3 linked regions of the Tamandua tetradactyla genome follow. The protein of the gene in region 3 interacts with the protein of the main gene of each other region in a biochemical or structural test. Links are inferred from orthologs where the notes say so. Each region holds a gene or a part of one and is shown on either strand. Other genes may lie near its edges.

Region 1 (7,026 bases), about 3.5 Mb from region 3:
ATTCTCCAACAGCAATTCATTTTTTAAATATTCCGTCTTCATATCCTAGGGCATCCAAAAGCAAGCGATTTGCACCTCATGTTCTCTCTAATTGTTGAAATCTGCACCTACTCGGGAATCTTCCATTTGAAGAGTCTCCTCATTTGGATGGTTCTGTAGCAATCAGGTTCCTGAGCGGAAGAGTTTGGCTATCAGGTTCAGAAGCTTCTGCCGGAAATTCAATTTATCTCCAATTCTTCTGAGTTGAGTAGCACACTCAACCTCAGGCTCTGAAAAAGGAAAGCAAAACACTGCTGTCAGTCAACAGGGTTCCAAACCGTAACCAACAAGAGTTAAAAGTGCCCCTCAAAGTAACAAACTGACTAGTTATGCCTTGAAGGGTTAGGTACACTGGTGCACTGAAAGCAAAAAGGTCACTTAGAACAAATACACATACACACACAGATCATACACTAAAACCTTCTGACTCAAATTTAAAATAATATAAGCTAAAACCACATTTACTTTGGAATCTTTTTTTAAAAAGGCATCGTGGATGAGGCAACTGTCATCTTACTCTTACTCTCAAATATGGAATTTAATGTCAGGCACCACAAATTGTTAGTGAGTCTTCACCAACCCCAGGTGATATCCTTTTCTCTCTTATTTTAGGTAGCTCAGGAAGCAGAAGCCAAGTTCTAAACTCTTTTGTGTTGTTTTCAAGTAGGATTTACTTTCCAAATGCCAATAATTGGTAGCTTAGGTTATACTCTTGATAATAAGCAAATCTAAGTTTGTTCTTTCCCTCATTTTTAAAAAACATCCTTTGCACTTATTTCATAAAAGGCTCATGCAGTCTTACGCCAAAATTAAGTCCAAAGTGTCTAAAATAATTTAAAAGTGTACATTTGACTCTAGAATCAATGTCTTCCCATTCTGTACCAATCCATTGCCTTTATGAAGGGTGAGTAATGAAACAGAAAACAAGCGATGCTTAACTTACACATTTACCTACATTTTTAAGAATGGAGGTACTATAACTAAATATTAATTTAAGAAAAATGTGTACAATCTAATTTTAAGTGCATTTTTAAGTACATGAAATTAATCCTAAATCTCTACTGACCATAATTTCAATTTTCTTCAGTATTTCAAAGAGCAACTCAGAGTCTTTTTGGTTCTCTTCAAAACTATGATTATGAACATTAAAAATCATTATGACTATAAATGAAATCTGGTGACTGAGCTTGAAATAAATGAAAACAGATAGTAAAGCAGATTTTTAAACCTACATTTCAACTAATTTCTTTCTCTATGGAAACTTAGTGAAATCTTCCTAACCGCTAACAAGGGGTTCTAATAAAGCTTGTAAAATGTCGTTCTTTATAGGCAATGGGGTCAGGTTTTCTGCAAAGACTTTGAGAAGCATTTACAAAGACATATGTTTTTCCTTAAAGAGGGATACATTAACATACAGCTCCCCCCAAACCCAAACCATTCAGCATACAATTTCGGGAGCCCTGAATTCTAAGAGCCAAAATTATCCCTTTTACCCAAAAAGGGGCAGAAAGCAGCTCCTAGTAGCTCCTGTTTCCTTAATTTTTTTATTAGTTACACATGTATAAATGTATTATTATCTAAGCAAGTGTAAGAGGGACTTTCTGCTGTCCCTTGTTACTGGAAGCTAAGTAAGATGGCTGAGGGGGCGAGGCACAGGCTAGACTTTACGCAAACATGGTCAGAACTCTTAGACTTGACAAACGACGAACAAAGCTTTTCCACACCAAGCAGCAGCCAAAGGGTGTCCTGGCCCTACTCAGCGATGGCCACATTAGCAATGCACCACCACATCCCCTGCACACGCGCGGGCCCTATGAAATGAAACTAAGTAACAGACCTATTAACTGTCTGATGTAATCACAGTAGGACCCGGAGGCGCGCGTCTTCCTCGCCGGTGCCCCTTACCAGATGGCTGCCTTCTTTCCTAAGATTTATATGGGGTGGAGGGGAACCGACCTGAAATTTACCTGACCGAGCTGTTTGCGAGGTGTGACAGATGGGGGAATGAATGGATGAAAAAGCATTGGGTATCACTCCGAGTTTTCTCCTACACCACCCTCCGCAATTATTGTCAATTGTCAAAAAGCGCTGTCTTAAGCAACAAAGAAGGAAGACTTTATAGGTTCCTGAACGCGGGAGTCTTTGCAGGACCTCCATAAACCCTCGGTCAGTCCTGCGTGGGAAGAGCTATGATAGCGCCAGGTTCTGTTTTTGGTTTTGTTTTTGTGTTTTACTGTGTAGGGAAAAGTTGGGGTTCACGTTTGGGAAGGGTTGAGGAGGGCGCGGTAAGCGAGCAGGGGTCCTCAAAGGTCCCCGACTCAGAAGGCGGAGCGCGGGCCCGGGGAAGCGCGCGGAGGCCATGCTGCTCCCGGAGCCCGCTCCGCCCCCACCTGCCAGGACAATGACTTTCTCCCCGAGACAGCCGCCAGAACTTGCACTTTTCTCCCCACGGTCACAGCGCAGGGAAAGAGGGATGACAGTGGGAACGGGCAAGAGGCTTTCCGCCCCGGCTAAAACGCAGCTGCATCCCAATCTCTCCCTCGCCAACTTCACGGTCCTGCGGGGAGTGGGGGGAGAAACTCTAAACAACTTTCCCGAGGCGCCCCTAAGGCACGTGCGAGGGCGCAGACCTGGCCCGACCTTGAGCTTCTATAGCCAGTCGGGGGCCGAGGGAAGGACTGACCCCACTCCGACCTAGACCTCAACCCCGACCCGGCTTTCTCCGGCCCCAGGTAGTCCTTTACCTGGCGGAGTCCGCGCCGGGCTCGGCTGCGCGTTCTTACGCGCCTTCTTCCCAGGCATCTCTCCAGCAGCCGCCGGGAACTCCGCTGCCGACCCAACCGGGAACTCAATCCCACAACGCGAGCACCTGCGGCGAGTTCCGGATGCGCGAGGCGGCCGGGCGGGATGCGGTGGCTGGCAACGCCGAGTTGCTAACCCGACTCGGTGTGGGCCCGACCACTTTTATGGACACGGCTCTGGGGCCCGCGCTCTGGTCGTAAAGGGACTTCCCGGTGACATAGCGAATCCTGACAGGCCCGCCCTCTCCCCGCCCCCCCCCCCCCCGCTATGGGTGGAGTCAGCGCGCGGCCCGGAGCTGGTTCGGGAAACCCGCGCCACTGGGCGCGACCTGCCCGGGCACGCTCCAGCCCCGTGGCGGCGCCGACGCGCCGCGGGGGGCGCAGGACGCACGGCGGGCCAGGCGGCAACAGTCCCGGGAGTCGGGAATCGGCGGGCCAGACCCTGCCCCTAAATTAATTATCTTCCTAATAAACGGGAAGGAGGAGGGTGGGGTCGCATTGAAAATCTGCACCAATCGGACGGAGAGTGAGCTGCAATAGTGGCGGGTCCTAGCAGGCTCGAGAGCCCAAAGGTTTTCCTAGCAGGGAAGTTGGGGGTGGGGGAGGCCCGGCTCCCGTCCTTATCGTGCATAGGCAATTAGAGACTTCTGGTAAACAAACCCTGGAAAGAGCTCCGAAAAAGCAGGTTTACGAACTAGGAGCCTGTGGTTAGTTGCAGTAAAGTAAAATGAACAGAGCTTTGATACCAGTAGAGAGAGTATCAGAGGCCATATGAGATCTGAGGAGAAATGGAAACATCGGAGCTGAAACCCTGGAGCAAAGCAGGAGAACACTGCGTTGGAGTTGGGGATGGGTGTATGTGAGAGAGCGTGCGGATGCCCGAGGGCGGGAGGTGTTTCTCCGCCCGGAATTAAGGTTGTGATTTTAAATGTTAGAGCCTAGTCCGTCTAGACAGAAGGTCGATATTGTCCATTCTGGATGTTCAGTAACACAGAAAGACTGGGCATCATATAGAAAGCTTCCAAATGCTTTCCTGGAGGTATCAGTGAGCTATTTGAGAATGTGAAATTACTTGTACCATTGCAATTCCGTTACTTTGAGGAAAAGAAGTAATTAGGAAGGGATAACATGCTAAAGAGGCGGGCATGCGTTTTTTCAATCCTCATAACAATCTTACAAAGCAGGTATTCTTATTAGTTGGCCAGAATACTGGGGTGAAAATTGACATTTTAGTCAATTACCGAAGTTCACTATAAGGAGAGAGCAGCGCCACTGACAACTTGTATGACCGTCCCAACCATCAGTTTCTTAGAAAAGGAATATTCCTATATGATGGGCACTATTTAATGCAGAGGTTGCAAACTAACCATGGAGAACTAAGGAGGTCCCTAGATTTGTTTGCTTGGGCTCTCAGTATGGATCTGCAAAGTGTCTTTTGAAAAATTTAATTAATTGTCACCATTTAAATACGGAAGGCCTCTGGACAAATCAGAAGCTCTGAGTCTGTTTTCCAAAAGTGGAGAATAAGCTGGCTGCCACTCCACTGAGAGGGGCTTCAAGCTCCAGTTTACTGCTCCCTGCTCTGTTTGCTTTGCTCATTTACATTATCTGGCCCCTGTAGGCATTGGAGCCTTAAATCTTCCCATCAACACAAACCAGCCAGTATTTAATTAGGGCTTGGTCCTGTAGAGGGTGTAAACAATGCTATAAGCGTGGTGCAAAACTATTCTTGCATTTAAACAACTTAGGAGACTTTTGTTGAGGGTAGTAAATACTCAGAGGTAACAGGGGCTAGAATTCAGGAGTTACCACCTATGCCACGGGAAGCACAGTGGAGATGCTGCCTTGAAATGTTATCTCAAACCTACATGGCCTCATTCTCATTTTTAAACATTTAATACATAAAGAACATCGTTAACTTCCAGTTTGCAAAATTGGTAAAATTCTGTTCAAATCACGCATCCTGAAATATAATGATTACAAAACAAAATAAAAGTGTATTTTAACATTGTATACTTACAAAGGGTGTATCAATCCTGTCCTCTAACATTGCCATTATAAAAGGTTGTTGATCATGTGACCAAACTGGATGCAAACTTTACACAAGTCTCTGAAGACAGTCGCAAATTCCTTGGAGGAGGAAAAAGGAGAGACAGGTCAAAACCATCTGGATTATAGAGGACTTTTTATGACTTTGGATTTGAGATGGTCCATAAACTCTTTTTCAGATCTAGCATTCTGCTGAGGAAGGGTAGTGAGAATTAGTTAGAAGCTAAAGATAAAAAGCCTCTCTTAACTGTATCCCTCTCTGCAAAAGTGATACATCCTGGGCTTCAAGAAATGTAAACATATTATGTCCATCTTGGCTGTAAAATAACAAAGATTTATTATGAAGTGTTAGAATCCCTTATTGGTTGTTAAAAAAAAACATTAGTACTGGTGAGGATGACAATTTTAAAAACTATTACCAGATCATCAGTTTTCATGGACCAAGTTAAAAAATAATAGTACCAATCTGCCTATGTCTGTATTGTCATCGCTAATGTTAAAAAAGCAAAACAAAACAATAAAACAGAACAAAACAAAAAACATGGTTAGTCATCAAATGATCATTCATTTATTTCATGGAGAAAATAGGACTTGGGAAAACAAAAGGATATGAGAGATGAGTACATTTGTGATGAAATACGCAGGTTGTTGACCTCAAGATGAGGTGTGATGAGAGAATAAATAAGATGATTTCTGAGGGAACAAGTTAAGAACATCTGTCAGGCAGAAAACAAGCTCATAGTCTTAGTGTGACCTCACCCCTACCCACCCCCCACTGACTTCCCACTCACAAGGCCAAGCAAGTTTTCAGTAAATGCTTTGGAGGTGCTTGGACATAAATGTAATTTCTAGTAACGACATGAGCAAATTACAAAATATGGAGTCTACAGTAATGCCCCTCCCATTTCATTTTTTATTTTTCTTTTTTTCCTTTGTCAGTCTAGCTAAAGGTTTGTTGATTTGATTGAGCTTTTCAAATAACTAGCATTTGGTTTCTTTGATTCTCTCAATTATTTTATTATTTTTTTAATTGTCTGTTTCGTTTATCTCCACTCTAATCTTTGTTCTTTCCTTCCTTCTCCTTACTTTACATTTTCGTTTGCTCTTCTTTTTCTGGATTCTCCAGTTGTGAGGTTAGGTCTCTGATTTGAGATCTTTTTTTTTTTTTAATATAAGTATTTAGAGCTATAAATTTCTCCCTCAGCACTGCCTTTCCTGCATCCCATAAACTTTGGTGTCATGTGTTTTGTCTTCATTTGCCTCAAGATGTTTCTTAATTTCCCTTGTGGTTTCTTTGATGCATTGGTTGTTTAAGAATGCATTGTTTAATTTCCACATATTTGTGAATTTTCTTCCTCGGTTATTAATTTCTATCTTCATTCCATTATGGTCAGAGAAGAGATATTGTATGACTTCAATATTTTTTAATTTATTGAAACTCATTTTATGACCTCACATATGCTTACCAAGGCATATATAAAACCACATGAATAATACTGGTTGAGTCCTGAAGGATATAATGGAAGCGTTGTTCCGAGATGGGAAGACTCTGCCCAATTAATCTAAGAATGTAGTATAGTTCTAATTAGAATACTATTATTTTTAGGAACATAACAACTGGAGGAGATCTAGGCCTGTTTGTCAAAATATTATAAAGCAAACATAAAGAGAAAATTACAAAGACAACTAGTTGAACAGAACAGAGAGTTAAAGATTCAGACTCAAAACACGAGGAAATGAAGTGGATAATTAAGGTGACCTGTCAATTCAGTACACACAAGGTAGATGGTTTAAGCCAATTGTGTGTGAATTTAAAAAAGTAAAAATAAAAATAAGGTCTGATTCCTATCTCATTACCTGCATCATAATAAATGCCAAAGGGTTCACACGTTTAAATAGAAACATCAAACACACTAAACTTAAGTAGTCTCTCTCTCTCTCTCAGCTATCATGTAAGGCCCTGGGAAGGCAGGAAGAGAGGTTTGGAGACAGTTTTATGGGGCCCCAGATAACCAAGTCTTAGACCTTTCAAATCCACTTCTGCAGAAATCTGAAACAATTATTTCAGCCTCCCAGACTCAAAAACTTGTAACCACAATGGATGACTGACACCTCACCTTCTCTTACCCCCATGCAT
Region 2 (7,461 bases), on a different chromosome or scaffold from region 3:
TACCCCACCCTCTGCCACCTCAGTTAAGGGCTACTCCATCCCTGCAGGGGCTCAGGCCAAAAATTTGGGGGCGCCCCCTCCCCTTGACTCCTCCTTCTCAACCTTCACCCAGTCGCCAGCAAATCACACCAGCTGGACCTTTCAAACAGACCTGGAATCCAGCTTCTTCTCACCACCCGCCGCTGTCACCACCCTGGCCCAACCCCCCCTCTTTTCTTTCCTGGATTATTGCGACAGGATTATCTCTGCTTCTGTTTTTGCCAGTTACAGTCTCCCCTCAACCCTGGTGATGGTAATGCCCCAATCCCATCACACCCTCTCAGCTCAAAGGCCTTCCAGCGTTTGCATTCGGGGTTAAAGCCAAAGCCCTTCCTTCCAATGGCCTTCCAGACCCAGCCCAGATTGCCTGTGCCCGTCCCTGTCCCTTGTCCCTTAACTCTTTTACTCTCCTCTCCAACTTTGTTTCCCCTCACTGTCCCCTCCAGCCATAGAAGCCCGGGACAATGCAGTCACTACCTTGCCCCCAGGGCCTTAGCATTTGCTGTTCCCGCCACCTGGAAGGCTTTCCCACAGGTATCTGCCGGAACCTCTTGCTTCTTAGCTAGGTTGACCACCCCATGCCCTAGGGCTCCACATTCTCTTTTCTCTGCAGCTTTCCCTCCACCCACCCAGCAGCAATACAAACCTCTATCACATTCTGTAATTTCCTTTGTCGGCTTGTTTGTTTATGGCCTGTCTCTCCCCATCCCACTAGAGATGTGAGCTCCACAAGGCCAGGATTTTTATTTCTTTTGCTCACAGATGTAACTGAACAGTGCGTGGCCCACGTCAAGCACTCAATCGGTGGAGCATGTGAATGCTGCCAGGGGAACCAAAGGATGAGTACTATTGCTAGGTGTGTGTGTGTGTTGGGGGTGAAACAACAAATAAAAAGATCTGGAAATTATTAGAGTGTGTGTGTGAGCGAGGGGTTGGGGGGGTTGAGATAGAGGCTGCATAAGCTTTCATGCTCCTGAAGAAAACAGGGACTGGGATCATGTTTTTGTTTTCCAGAAGGCCTCTGGGATTGTCCCAGGGCAGGGACCTAGGCCTGTGCTGAGCACGGGGGACTACTGAGAAATGTCCCCAGCAGTGGGCCTCAGTGGATGCAAGGACAGCCCAGGTTGCAGGGGTACTTCTACTAGCATCTTTCTCAAACCCCCACAGGCCCCGCTGCCTGGGAGAGCTGTCTACCACTTGGGGTCACCTGCCCCTGGCAGCTGAGGTTAGCCCTGGAGTGGGCAGGAGCTGGAAGGAAGCTAGAAAGCCCAGTCCCAGGGAAAGAAGGCAGCCTGGGGGTGGGGTATAGTCTGCGGCAGGGCATAGCCTAGGGGCAGGGCACCAAGGAGTCTCCCAGCCCCACCTACCAAAGGAACCTCCATCAAGCAAGTGTGGCCTTAGGCAAGTCACTTCCCCTTTCTCCCTGCCTGTTCTTTTGATTTGTCCTGGCCCTACAATAACAGCTATGTTTTCTTCCGAGCAAGTACTCTGCATCAGTACTCTATAATTTAGTGCTTCCTATATATTGCTGCTAATACCCAACAGCCTTTGAGTGGTGATGAGTGTTCTGTTTTACAGAAGAGGAAAACCGAGGCTCAGAAAGGTTATGGACTTATCCAAAGCCAGTCAGTGAGTGTCAATGTGGCTGGGGTACAGGGGGCTATGAGGGCCAGGTGGTTGAAGAGATTGCCTACCTCCATGGTGGCTGCTGCCAGCTGGCTGCCCCTGATGACCGCTGTCGTCTCCCAGGAGGCCTGGAACCGTGTGGTGGTGCTTGCACAGGCCTGAAGGCTGGTCCCCTGAGGCTCTGGGGCCCAGATCCCTATCTGCAAGGCTGGAATCTTCCCGCTCAAACTCTGGGATCTGGAACATGCTCCGGGCTGTGGGGACAAGAGAGTGGGTGGTCAGGGCAGACAGCTGGGGCCGCTGCGGGTGGGGGGCAGGTACCCCTGGCTCCCTCCCTACCCGTGGAACCCGCAGATCCGGCCTGCCTCCCAGGCCCCCCATCTATCCTCAGAGTCTGGCCCGGATAGGAGGAGCTCAGCCTATCCACTCAGTACCCAACTCTACCATCGGGCCCTGGGGCTGTGAGGCAGTCCCCGGCTCGTTCCCGGCCAAGGCAACGGCCCACAGGTCTCACCCTAAGCCCAATCTCGAGGCCCCTGACCCGGGCCCGCCGCCTCCCTGCAGTACTCAGGGCGCCCGGCCCTAGTTACCTGGGCAACGGGAACTGTCACTGACCGGACCCAATAGGCTTTTGCAATGTCACTCGGGCCGGCCGCGAGGCGTGGCCAAACCGGGCCCCGCCCCACCGCCCGTCCTGCCCCTCGCCTTCTTCTCGGGTCCCGGGCTGGTCCCTGGATGCTCAGCTCCCAGCTTCCTCACGCCTGGGGTGTGTGCGGAAGCAGGTGAGGGATTCTCTGGAGTCCCCGTTTGGAGCCTGGAGACCTGCTTCTGCTGACAAGTCCTTCCGCCCCTCTGGGCCTTAGTTTCCACCCGTCTGGATTGGGGATAATGACACCTCCCTCAGCAGCCAGTGAAAACTTTGTAAACCGAGCAGTGATTGCTGGGGGCGAAAGCACCAGCCGAGGCCGTACTTGATGTCCAGCCGCGGCTCCAATTACTGTTACTGCTCGGTCTGCACTGGGTGACCCGGTCGGGAAGTCCCGCGCCCTCCTCCTCCCCAGCGTGGAAACCCCGCGCCTCCCGCAGCTGGGGCACCACTCCCGGCGCCGTCTCGGGTGCGCTCGAGATAAGAGAGGGAGCCTCGCCCTGGCAGGATGGCCGCCCGGGCTCAGGAGAAAGGACAGGGGCCCCTGTGAGGGCGAACCGTAGGGCTGGTGGGGCGGCGTGCAAGGCTCTGACCAGGTGAGCGGGAGCCGCGGTGGGACCCCGCGGGTTAAGGGCCCGGGGGCGGGGCCCGGGGAGCCATCTTGACTGTGGGCGGAAGTGTCCTTCAGAGGCGAAGTCCCCGCCCCCGTGCGGGCGGCGCGATCCAAATCGGGAATAGGGGAGGGAAACGTGGGAGCCCGCGCAGTGGTCCAGGCCACGGCGCCCCCCCAGGGCGTACGGGCGGGTGCGGCGCCCTCCCCGCGTCCCTGCCGCCCGCCACCTCGCGTAACCCCTGGCACCCGCCCGCAGCGCAGCTCGCGCCGATTCTCGAACCGCCCCACGGCGGGCGCGGCGCGGGGCTGCGGAGCCAGGGCCGGCCCCTGCGCAATTTGCGTAGCGAACGGCGCAGGCGCAGGCTCAGGAGGGGGCGGAACAGCGGGAGCCGGGGAGCTGGAGCTCCGGGTCCCGGCGACCGGAGCCGGCTCCCCAGCGGCGGCCGCGGGCACCCGGTGTCGGCCTCTTCCCGCCCCCCGCGACCAGAGAGCGGACGCGGTGGGGGGTGGGGTGGGGGCGGCGTCCGGAATCCCGAGAGGGCAGAGGCGCTCCCCCCACCCCGATTACTGGAAGGGAGCGAGTTCCCTCCCAGCCTGGGGAGGGGGAGAGCGGGACGTTGGGGCACCCCTGCAGTGGCCGCTGTCCTGAGCAAACGGACATAGGCCAGCTCTCCCCCTCCTGCTGGGACCCTCCCGAGCGACCAAGGCCTGGGACCCCTCTCCTTCAGCATCTGCACCCCCACACCCAGGGTTCTGGGGGTGGCCCAAGGAGGAGACCCCCGTCTGCTCTGGAGAGGAGCGTATGTCCCTGCGTGAGGAGCTCCGGCTCAGGGCCCAGGCTGTCGGTGCCCCCCAGGTGCAAAGGGTCTCTCTGGCACGGAAGAAGGGCCTGCGCCAGCCACAACTTCTTTCCTCCTGAACTCCCCCATCTCTCTGTCTCAGCACCCTGTGATCCTCTCCCCTCTGTATTTATTTCCCTGGCTGCCGGCCAGCCCCTCCATCTCTGTCTCCGGGATTCGGGCCGCCGTCCCTGCCATGGAGAGTAACCTGTCTGGCCTGGTGCCTGCTGCTGGGCTGGTGCCTGCGCTGCCGCCCGCCGTGACCCTGGGACTCACTGCAGCCTACACCACCCTGTACGCCCTGCTCTTCTTCTCCGTCTATGCCCAGCTCTGGCTGGTGCTCCTGTATGGGCACAAGCGTCTCAGCTATCAGACGGTGTTCCTGGCACTCTGTCTGCTGTGGGCTGCCTTGCGTACCACCCTCTTTTCCTTCTACTTCCGAGATACCCCGCGAGCCAACCGCCTGGGGCCCCTGCCCTTTTGGCTTCTCTACTGCTGCCCCGTCTGCCTGCAATTCTTCACTCTGACCCTCATGAACCTCTACTTTGCCCAGGTAACTGTCGGAACGGGTGGTGTTGGAGGGTGTGTGTGTGTGTGTGTGTGTGTGTGTGTGTGTGTGTGTGTGTGTGTGTGTGTGTGTGTGTGTAGTGAGGGGCCCCCAAGGGCTGCAAAGACTGATGGGCATCTCTGCTCCCAGGTGGTGTTCAAGGCCAAGGCGAAGCGTCGGCCAGAGATGAGCCGAGGCTTGTAAGTACTCAGGGCACCGGGGGGGCTTGGGCCACCTCCCACCCCTCCTCACCTTGCTGGGCTGAGACGAAGACCTTCAGGGAATGTGTGTGAACGAGCTTGGAAAAGTTAAAGCACCTGGCACAGGTGGCGGGACTAGAGGCGTTGCGTGTGTGAAGGGCAACAATAATGGAAGCAGCTGTGAGCCTGTAAGGGCCAGGGGCGGCGGAGGGGGGTGTGCGCGATGAGGGTCTCATTGTCTGAGGAAAGGCAGGAAGCACCAGCCCATGGGTGCTCCAGAGTCAGACTGCACCTCTGGGTGACACTGGGCAGCAATGCCCCTGTGGTTTGTAAGAATATCTTAGAGTTTATAACAGAGCCGTCACAAACCTTTAAGTTTTACAATTAGCCTGTGAGGTCCTTATTATCCCCATCCGGGAGATGAAGAAACCGAAGCCCAGCCAGGTAAAGCAGCAGGTTCAAGGTCACAGAGCTGGCGGGAAGCAGAGCCAGGGCTCAAACCCAGGTGTCTGATTCCCGGTATCACAGCTGTCAGATCGCCTACCGACCTCTTTGGGCCTCAGTTTCCCCATCTGTCAAAGGGGAGGAGCAGGTCCCGACGGGCTCTGGGGTCTCCGGGGTCTCCGTGGGGAGGTGGGGTGGGCGGTGGGAGCCGGGGGGCCTCTACCTGGAGCCGACCGTGCTGTGGGCTGCAGGCTGGCTGTGCGCGGGGCCTTTGTGGGAGCCTCCCTGCTCTTTCTGCTGGTGAACGTGCTGTGCGCTGTGCTGTCCCACCGGCGCCGGGCACAGCCCTGGGCCCTGCTGCTGGTACGAGTCCTGGTGAGCGACTCCCTCTTCGTCATCTGCGCGCTCTCTCTTGCTGCCTGCCTCTGCCTGGTGGCCCGGCGGGCCCCCTCCACCAGCATCTACCTGGAAACCAAGGTAGGCCCCGAGGCTCGGATGCCCCGTGTATGGAACCGCGGTCCTCAGGGTAGAGAGGGAGCCGGGCGCTGCCTCTCCCTGAGCTGTCACAAACCTTTGCCAGGGGACCAGTGTGTGCCAGGCAGCTGCCATGGGTGGCGCCATGGTCCTACTCTATGCTAGCCGGGCCTGCTACAACTTGGCAGCCCTGGCCTTGGCCCCGCGGAGCCGGCTGGACGCCTTCGACTACGACTGGTACAACGTGTCCGATCAGGTGGGCATCCTGGAGCAGCCGCAGCTCCCGGCTGGCCCGCTGGTCCATTGGCACCATTGCAGATGGGAACAAGCCCTGTACCTTCCTTCCTTCCCCCAGGCGGACCTGGTGAATGACCTGGGGGACAAAGGGTACCTGGTGTTCGGCCTCATCCTCTTTGTGTGGGAGCTGTTGCCCACCACGCTGCTGGTGGGCTTTTTCCGGGTGCACCGGCCGGCACAGGACCTGGTGAGGGCCTCCAGTCCACCCCACCACCACCCCCCGCTGCAGGGCCGGTGGAGAGAGGGCCAGATGTGGCAGTGCCAGGGGCAGGGGGATTTATGGGAGGCCAGTGGCAGCCGGGAGAAGGTGCTGAGGGTGGTCTCCTCCCCCTAGAGCACCAGCCGCATCCTCAGTGGGCATGTCTTTGGCTCCCGTTCCTACTTCTTCGATCGAGCTGGGCACTGTGAGGACGACGGCTGCTCCTGGGAGCACAGCAGGGGTGAGAGCACCAGGTAGGAGTCCCCGCCCTGCCTCGGGAGCCTTGGGCACCTACAGCCTGGTCTTGTCCCCCCATCGCTGGCCCTGGCTGGGTTCTACCTCTGGTTTTTCTATTGCTGACCCCATGCCCCGCCCCATCCCAAGGTGCAGTTTGCAATGGTCTCGGGGGCTCAAGCCTTGGGCCCTGGAGGTCTGGGGCATGGGGCTGCTCCCCGGGAGCTCCTCCCAGCATGCTCTGTTCTAAGCCTCGGTCTCTCCCCCAGCTCCCATGCATGTGGCCCCAGTCACTGTCCTGGGACTGACCCTATTTCTCTGTCTGCAGCATGTCAGGCAGCCTAGGCTCAGGCAGCTGGTACGGCGCCATCGGGCGTGAGCCGGGCTGGTGCGGAGGCAGCCAGACGCGGACCTCTCCTCTGCTCTTCTCCCAGGTGCCGGGACCCGGCGGCCACCACCACTGTCTCTATTCCACCCCACAGACGTGAACCCCCACTCCCCTCCTGCTCCCCAGGATGCCCAGACCCCAGTCCCCCTTCACCCAGGCCCCTGGGCCAAGTTCATCTGCAGCTTCTTGCCTGGGGTCCCGGGGGCTGTGGCTGCCTGCTCCCCAGCGGGCTCCCTGGCTGCTCCTGTCGTAGTGAGCTTGTGCCGTCCCCCCCACTTAGGATGGGGGCCTGGCCGTAGCTGCCACATGCCCACAACACGCCGGCATGAGCTGCTGCCTCCGCGTCCACGCCGGAGCCAGCTACCTCTCCTGCATCAACCACTCAATAAACAGCGTCTGTCTCCTGTGTCTGTTCTTCTGTCCGTCTTCTCTTGACTGCTTTGTATTCTTCTCTCATCTCTGCCTGTTTGGTCAGCCTTGGCCTGAAGAGGGCTCCTGGGCTGAGAAGGGCTGCTGCCCTCTGCTGTGGCTGGTGGGCAAGGAGAGGGTGCCAAGGAGGGAAGAGAGACAGGTCTTTGTTCTCCCAGGCTCCTTTCCCCAAGACTTGCTTCAGATGTCACCTCCTTTTTGAAGCCTGCCATCTCCTGGTCAGGGAATGGTGGCTCATCCCCTAGGGCCTGTAGCATGGTGATTATGTGGCTATTATGCCTCTTACCCCCAATAAATGGGAACTTGGGGATACCCTGTTTCCTTCTCACCACCCTCAACCTGGCGTCCAGTTGCCAGGAGTTAGCCCAGGGCCTATGGAGGTGTTAGCATGGTGACCGAGCAGCTTGTGTCTATCAGGGCATGCATTTGGCTAGGTGGGCTGGCTGCCCCCCACCCCGCGTCTGCCTGGTGGTCTTGGGGTCCCCT
Region 3 (7,382 bases):
GTCCTATGGGTCGATACTATTTATATCCCTGTGTTAAAAATGGGCATGGAGAGGCTACTCACTAGCTCAAGGTCACAGCCACGACTGATGGGGCCAGGATTCAAACCCCTGATTTCTGGTTTCTGAGCTCTGAACCTCTGCAGTGAACTCCAAGTAGCAGCACAGGTGGACTCTGAAGACAGCTAGCAAGGTTAAGGATGGTTTTGCAGAGGAGGGAATTCTTGGGCAGAAACTTGAGCAATGAGTATGAATTAACGGTGTGTAAAGGCTGGGTTCATATGTGCTAAGGCCAGAGACATGAGAGGGACTGGCATATTCCAGGAACCACAAAAAAATGAACACAGCTTCAGGAAGGCGATGTGGAAGGAAAGAGTGGGCGTTGAGGTGGTAGGGCTGGGCTGGATAAAGTCATGCAAAGGGGATGAGATTTCAGCCTTTGACAAACTTCGAAAACAAAAGGACCAGATTTTAGCTGTTGAAAAATCGTGAGACCCATTGAAATTTAGTTCTAATGTTGCTGAGCCCTTAGGCCTTGGAGTAAACCCTCAGACCTTGTTAAGTTTGAAAGATACCATGTTAACCTAGGTTTTTCTAGTTGCTTTCATCAGCAATGAATATCTGGGAGATACTGTGCTTTGTCCTAAATAGCTTAAGAGGATAAAAGTTAGTTATTACCCATAAGAATGTAAATTCTTTGCCTACTCCACCTCAGTACCGTGCTATCTCATGTTGCTTGTTTCTGTTGCTGCAGTTTCAATCCAATGAGAGCACCAGGCATTTGAAAAATATTAAGAAATTTAAGACAGGTTCTACCCTTAGTTTTTTGAAGCTCAAATGCCAAGTCTTTAATTTAATGGGAAAAGTATGCTACTTGTGAATTACTAGGCTTTCCTTTGTAAGCCAAAAGCAAACATTTGCCTGCTCTTAAGCTTCCACAACAGAGTGATTTATGTGTAGTGTGTTGTTTAAATGTTTGCTGTTTAATTATTCTGAACATATTTTGAGGTTTGGGACCTACCATAAATAAGGTGGGGTTCTAGGTTAAACCAAGCCTTGTTGGCTTAGATTTGGCATCGTGTGGCTTTAGGGCCCACAGCAGGCTTGGATGCTCTGCAGCAGAAGGCAGGCTCAGGGCATGAATGAATCGGAAACAGGATTCATCAATGGGGCTTGTATGAAGTTTGTCTACAAACTATTCAAACACTTTGGTCAGGAAGGTAAAGAGTGTAGCACTGTTCAGTGCAAGTTTATAATGTACTTGAAATTGGAAACATTTAGAACATTTTGGATTGCTTTTATAGATCTGCGGGATCTCGTTTTTTAAGCAGTTCATTTTTTCTCATAGAAATTGTTTGGACTACTTGTTTTTACTCTCTCTAGTCAGTTCCTTTTGTTTATGTATTTATTTCCATATTATAAAAATTATGGAGTTTGCCTAAATGGTTTGGGGGTCATGTTTTACATTTCTAACTTTTTCACATCAGTTCCCTCTCTTTTAATGGTCTCGTTCTATCCTGATTTTAAATACAAAGTTAAATGGTTGGGAAGATGCCATATATATGCCTATATTGAACATTAGTATGTCCAGATTAGAATAATAGGAACATTAATATTGGTGATGGATGAAAATAACTTTCTAAATTATACTGCTAAACATCAACCAGTAGGTGGCGAAATCTGGCAATAAAAGCTTTTTGTTTGGCAGATTGGGAATAAAAAAGAAAACAGGCCTTTCAGACTCTTGAGACAATCTCCATTTCCTGCATCTGGTTCTTTTCTCCTCCTGGTGCCACCCTACCCTGAGAATCAAAGCTGGCAAAAGGGGTCATCCATGGGATCTTAATGGGAGGAGACATCTGGGAAAGAGAAGAGTCCACAGCGCATACCTGTAGAAGGCTGCTGGAAGGTCTGGGTCCCAGATCTCGCCACCAATCCCAGAACTGCTGGCTCAGGCCAGTGTTCCATCTACCACCTCATTACCCAGAGACAAAGGGTTAACGTTACATACTTCCTGGGAATGCTCGCCCTTATGATTTTAAGTGGATTCTGTTATGCATGGGCTCTGAACAGAATAGAATTACTCTTTGGATTGAAAGAGTATCCAAAACATTCCAGGGACTATATAACCTTAGAAAAGGACTGTGATGTAGATATATCTGGAGAGAGGTGTTTGGTTAGAGCCAAGACACCATATGAGGAATTATTCTGGGAAAACTCATAAGGTGAGGCTTCATGAGAGCAAACGAAGGGAAAAATATAAGGGAGCTTTTCGTTCCTTGGGAATAGGAGATATTCCTCCTGGTTGCCCCCTTCGCGGAAGTACAATCTCTTTTCCAGCCCTAGAGCCTCTAATTTCCTCAAAAACAGTAATTTCCTCTCTCTCTCACAAGTAATTTTTTTGGGTTTAAAACCAGGATCTAAGAAGATCCAAAGGGAGTAAACTACAATGTTGTAGAATTAGAATGATTTTGACTATTTCTTTGAGAACAGATACTGAAGTTCATTCTATAGCAGGGCTGTCTGCAGACACCTCCGCACTGCCCACCAAGCACAGGGGGCTTGGGCACAGCCCTTACACGGTGGAGGGAGTGTCTTGCTTCCTTCCCTCTTGCTTGGCTAAGAGGTTTGTACCAGGGCATCCATTCCTATGTGTAAGATGTTTGCACACTGGCAGATTGGGGTGGTAGATGAAGAAATGAAAAAAAAATGGTGTGCTCATTTTGCTTTAAGAATAAATGCTTTGTTTTTAGACTAGGAACGAGACAAAATATCGGAGACTGTGCCAGAAGATATTTGCACACATTGTAGTACTCATTTGTCATGTTTCTGTGACACAGTAACCAACTGTCCCTATATATTTGTACTTGAGCCCTATTAAGTAAGCTGCTGTGCTTTTAGTAAACATTTATTTCTCGGTGCTTTGTCAGACTCAGAGACAAAAATAGTGAAACGTGTACAGCTTGTTTGTCCTCTTGTCCTTTTCACGAAACTAAGAACTATTCCAACTGATGAATTAAAAAATACTTGCGTATGTATGTATTTACATATATGTACGTGTACATATACTACGTATATTACATATAATCTGAGAGGCTGAGTCCCGTAGGGCTGGCTGCTTGGCACACGTGGTGGAGGCCTTTAGAAACCCACCGACGCCGGGACCGCGATTGCGCGGGCCTGGAAGTTGCCATGCAGCCCTTCCCAGCGTCCAGCCCTGAGCCAGTGCCCGAATCATCAGGACCAACGCTGACCCAACTGTTTTAAAGCCCTTGCTAACCACTGCTCGCCTCTTCACTAGCCCGCTGAGGGTTAGGTCTGGCCTTTGTCGCAGATCGGGTCCTCAGGTTGCCAACGCGCCGGAGGCGGGTGGGTGTGGGTTTGGGCGTGTGTCCGCGCGCACGCGCGCGCGGGTATATGTGCTGCGTGGGCAGCTCGGAAGCGACTTGAATGTAAACATGCTTCGGGGCTCCCCTCGCTAATGAACGTGCAGAGTCGCCTCTTCACGGGAGGGCAGCACTGAGGTCCCCGCTGGTTGGGGGCAGCAGCGGCCCGGGTCCTCCCGGCGGCCGCGGGCTGGTCACACACAGGCGCGCGCACCCGCGCACGCGTACACACACACACATACACACACACACACACACACACACACACACACACACACACGGTTAGGAAAGCTCAAAGCGATTCCCCGGTGCCTTTCCGGGCTTGTTTCCCTGGCGCGCCGCCGGGCCGCCCCCTCCGCGCTCCGCCGCTGCCCGGCCGGCCTCGCGCTCTTCCCTAGGCGCCCCGGCCCCCGGCGCCCGCGCAGCCCCGCCCCGAGGCCCCAGAGCGCGCGCCCGGCCGCCGCAGGCCCGAGGAGGCCCCGCGCACACCCACCGCGCCGCGGCCGCCCGGGAGGCCTGCGCCGCCCGCGCCACCCACTGGCCGGCCCCGCGGGCAGGCGGCGGCCCCGAGAGACGGCCGTGCGCGCCATGTGTCCGCGCCGCTCCGGGTCCGGCCGGCCGCGGGGCCTTTAACCCGGGCCCCGGCGCGGGGCGGCTCCGAGGAGAGCTCTTTCTTTCTTCTTTTTTTGAATGAACCGTGTGACGTACGCACAGGAAACCAGGCGGGTTGAGTGGAGAATGAAGTCAGAGGCCAGACCCCCCGCCCGCGCCCGCCCCCTTCCTCCCCGCCCCCTCCCCCGCCCGCGCGCCCGCCCGCCCGCCCGCTCGCCCGCCCCCGGCGCGCCCGCCCCGCGCTCTCGGTTTCCCTGCCGAGTTGCCGCTATCGCCGCCGCCGCCACCGCGAGTGGAGGTGCCCGGGCGCCGGGAGCTCCCCGCCGGCGCGGCCGTCCCCGCTCGGAGCGGGCTGCGCGGCCGAGCAGCCGGGGAGGCGGGCGCCGCCGCCACCGCGCGGGAGGAGGAGCAGGAGGAGAAAGGGTGCGCAGCCCGGAGGCGGGGTGCGCCGGTGGGGTGCAGCGGAAGAGGGGGTCCAGGGGGGAGAACTTCGTAGCAGTCATCCTTTTTAGGAAAAGAGGGAAAAAATAAAACCCTCCCCCGCCACCCCTTTCTCCCCACCCCTCGCGGCACCACACACAGCGCGGGCTCCTCGCGCTCGGCACCCGCGGCCCGGGCGCGTCGTGCCTGCATTTATCCAGCAGCTTTTCGGAAAATGCATTTGCTGGTCGGACTTTAATCCGAAGAGGATTCCTGCCCCCGGCCGGGGCTCGTCCACCGTGCCCCCTCCCCCTGTTTCTCTCCCCCCGGAGGCGTGAGGCAGCCCCGTGGATGGGGATCCGGGTCTGTGCCCGCGCGTGTCTGTGCGTGTGTAAATTGCCGAGAGGGGGAAATCACAGGACTTCTGCAAATACTGGACTGAAAATTGTAATTCAGCCGCCGCCGCCGCTGCCTTTTCCTCTCGTGCTCTTGAGATCTCCGATTGGGATTCCTACGGATTGACATTTCTGGGAAGCAGAAGTCGACTATTCAATTTGGAAATTCTCCTCATTTTTTCAGCCCGCTCCCGACTCCTGGTTCATTTGCAAGTTTCTCAGCAGCTCTAACCGGAGAGTTCTGAAGATCGATGGGATCTTTGCCTTATGCATTGGTTTTGTTTTTGCAAAAAAGGAAACTTGACAGAGGATCATGCTGTCCTTAAAAAATACAAGTAAGTTCTTTGCACAGGAAATCGGTTTAATGTAACTTTTAGAGGAAACATTTGCGATTTTAACTTTAAGTGCGGTAGTGGACGTTTAATTTGCAGGCAGTTCAATACATTCTTTTTAGCCATGTAACTTGTAATGTGTCTGCTCTGCTTTCACCCGTGCATAAAGGAAAATGCACCTGATTGTGACTTACTAGTGTTCCTTCTTTTTCTTTTTTAACCTTTCAGCATCACGGAGGAAGTAGACCGATATTAACGATAATTAATGCTCATCATGTGCCTCATGAAATAAAGATCCGAAAGGAATTTCAATCTAAAAATTTCCTGCATCTCATGCCAAGGGGGAAACACCAGAGTCAAGTGTTCCGCGTGGCTGAAGACACCCCCTCATCCAAGAATGCAAAGCACATCCAATAAAATAGCTGGATTATAACTACTCTTCTTTCTTTCGGGGCAGTGGGGTGGGAGCGGGGGCGAGAGGGGCCGTTGGTCCCGGGCTGCTGTTGCTCGGGGGAAGGATGGCGCACGCCGGGAGAACAGGGTATGATAATCGGGAGATAGTGATGAAGTACATCCATTATAAGCTGTCGCAGAGGGGCTACGAGTGGGATGCCAGAGATGCGGGCGCCGTGGCCCCGGGGGCCGCCCCGGAGCCGGGCGTCTTCTCCTCCCAGCCGGGGCACGCACCCCCGCCCGCTGCGCCCCGGGACCAGCCGGCCAGGACCTCGCCGCCGCCGCCCCCGGCCGCCCCCGCCGCGGGGCCTGCGCTCAGCCCGGTGCCACCTGTGGTCCACCTGACCCTGCGCCAGGCCGGCGATGACTTCTCTCGTCGCTACCGCCGCGACTTCGCCGAGATGTCGAGCCAGTTGCACCTGACCCCCTTCACCGCGAGGGGACGCTTTGCCACGGTGGTGGAGGAGCTCTTCAGGGACGGGGTGAACTGGGGGAGGATCGTGGCCTTCTTTGAGTTCGGTGGGGTCATGTGCGTGGAGAGCGTCAACCGGGAGATGTCGCCCCTGGTGGACAACATCGCCCTGTGGATGACCGAGTACCTGAACCGGCACCTGCACACCTGGATCCAGGATAACGGAGGCTGGGTAGGTGCACGTCTGGCTGCGTGTGAGTCTGTGCATGACGTCTGACGTCCGAAGTGCCCCGGGCACGGGGGGCTGGGGGTGAACTCCGGGGTCCAGCGCAGGCTGCTGAGCCGGTGAAATCAATTCGGGGTGTTTGTTCCCCGCTCCCTCCCTCTCCCTTCCCCTCTACCGGGCTTTCCCTGCCAACCCTTCTGTGACAAATCCTTCCCGCCAAAAGTGTTTTTCCTTGATTTGCCAGCCGTTGAATGTTCAAAGATCCAGCCTTTGCTACCCAGTGGGATCTCGTGATAAACTGTGTTCCTGAAGTGTTTCTCAGACTGTGATCCAGGGATCCCCTGAAGCGCGGTTATCTGGTCTGGGTAGCGTGTTGACTTTGGAGATTGCAGGGGCTGCTGCTGCCTGCTGAACTAGACCCCAGTGCTGGGTCCCCCAGGAGCTCCCTCTTAGACACGCCCCCCCGGGGGGGGGGTGCTGCTGTGTACTAACGATTGAGAACCACTCAGAGGATCTAGGGGGGTGCCTTTCTGACTTTCTTGGTAAACTCTACCAGAGAGAAGAACCACTCAAGCCCCTCTTCCTGGAATTCGTAAGTGCGTTTGTAAAGAGCTAAGGTGACATTGGAAAAGCTGATGGACTGCATGCAGTGCGTCACTTTCCCAGCCGTCCTGAGCATGTGCCTTGAAGAACACCGGGATAGGATGCTCGGTTTATCTCATGAGTGACCCTTTGCACAGGCTGCGTACTTGACGTTCCATTTCTATCACTGGTGTGTGGTTTAAAAGTTCTCTGGAATTTTGGTCTCTTTTACTTTTCACCACCTAGAATCCACATCAGTTTGTGGTCTCCTTTGCTGAGAAAAGCTGCATCTAGGGTATCTGTGTGAAGCATAGATAATCTGATTCTTACCTGTGGATTCTCTCCTGCTCTGCCTTTCGTGGAAGTGATCAATGCCTGTAGTTTTGAAGAACAGCTGTGAGATGGTTTTCTTTTCCTGGTACTATACTAGATAGAGCTTCCATCATTTTATTGTGCAGCTGCTCTTTTCTGTGGACTTGAGGGGAGGGATGCAGGTCCGAAGACATAAGGATTGTAATTAAGATCTGCATCTTCTATCTAAAGTTAATTTATGAAAATTCATAAAGT

What was found. The genes of interacting proteins can lie anywhere in the genome.
Region 1: the proteins of BCL2 (region 3) and PMAIP1 interact in a biophysical measurement, tested with the Homo sapiens proteins (2 studies listed by BioGRID and IntAct, with this or other methods). The link is inferred for Tamandua tetradactyla from reciprocal best matches to the Homo sapiens genes BCL2 and PMAIP1.
Region 2: the proteins of BCL2 (region 3) and BAD form a complex in vitro, tested with the Homo sapiens proteins (5 studies listed by BioGRID and IntAct, with this or other methods). The link is inferred for Tamandua tetradactyla from reciprocal best matches to the Homo sapiens genes BCL2 and BAD.

What each region holds. Positions count from the first base shown.
Region 1 is NC_135344.1:22,426,014-22,433,039, forward strand, and holds the start of PMAIP1 (phorbol-12-myristate-13-acetate-induced protein 1), read right to left. Parts: upstream 3,028-7,026; 5' UTR 2,842-3,027; coding exon 2,784-2,841; intron 270-2,783; coding exon 163-269; 3' UTR 1-162. UniProt on the Homo sapiens protein: Promotes activation of caspases and apoptosis. Promotes mitochondrial membrane changes and efflux of apoptogenic proteins from the mitochondria. Contributes to p53/TP53-dependent apoptosis after radiation exposure. Promotes proteasomal degradation of MCL1.
Region 2 is NC_135335.1:10,363,515-10,370,975, reverse strand, and holds the start of BAD (bcl2-associated agonist of cell death), read right to left. Parts: upstream 3,028-7,461; 5' UTR 2,905-3,027; exon of another isoform or gene 2,870-2,904; intron 2,830-2,869; exon of another isoform or gene 2,005-2,829; intron 1,920-2,004; 5' UTR 1,912-1,919; coding exon 1,734-1,911; intron 1-1,733. Other genes in the region: integral membrane protein GPR137, read left to right, coding at 3,727-3,780, 3,867-4,316, 4,461-4,510, 5,206-5,431, 5,535-5,684, 5,784-5,912, 6,060-6,178, 6,487-6,646. UniProt on the Homo sapiens protein: Promotes cell death. Successfully competes for the binding to Bcl-X(L), Bcl-2 and Bcl-W, thereby affecting the level of heterodimerization of these proteins with BAX. Can reverse the death repressor activity of Bcl-X(L), but not that of Bcl-2.
Region 3 is NC_135344.1:18,921,618-18,928,999, forward strand, and holds the start of BCL2 (apoptosis regulator Bcl-2), read left to right. Parts: upstream 1-4,381; 5' UTR 4,382-5,145; intron 5,146-5,370; 5' UTR 5,371-5,660; coding exon 5,661-6,239; intron 6,240-7,382. UniProt on the Homo sapiens protein: Suppresses apoptosis in a variety of cell systems including factor-dependent lymphohematopoietic and neural cells. Regulates cell death by controlling the mitochondrial membrane permeability. Appears to function in a feedback loop system with caspases.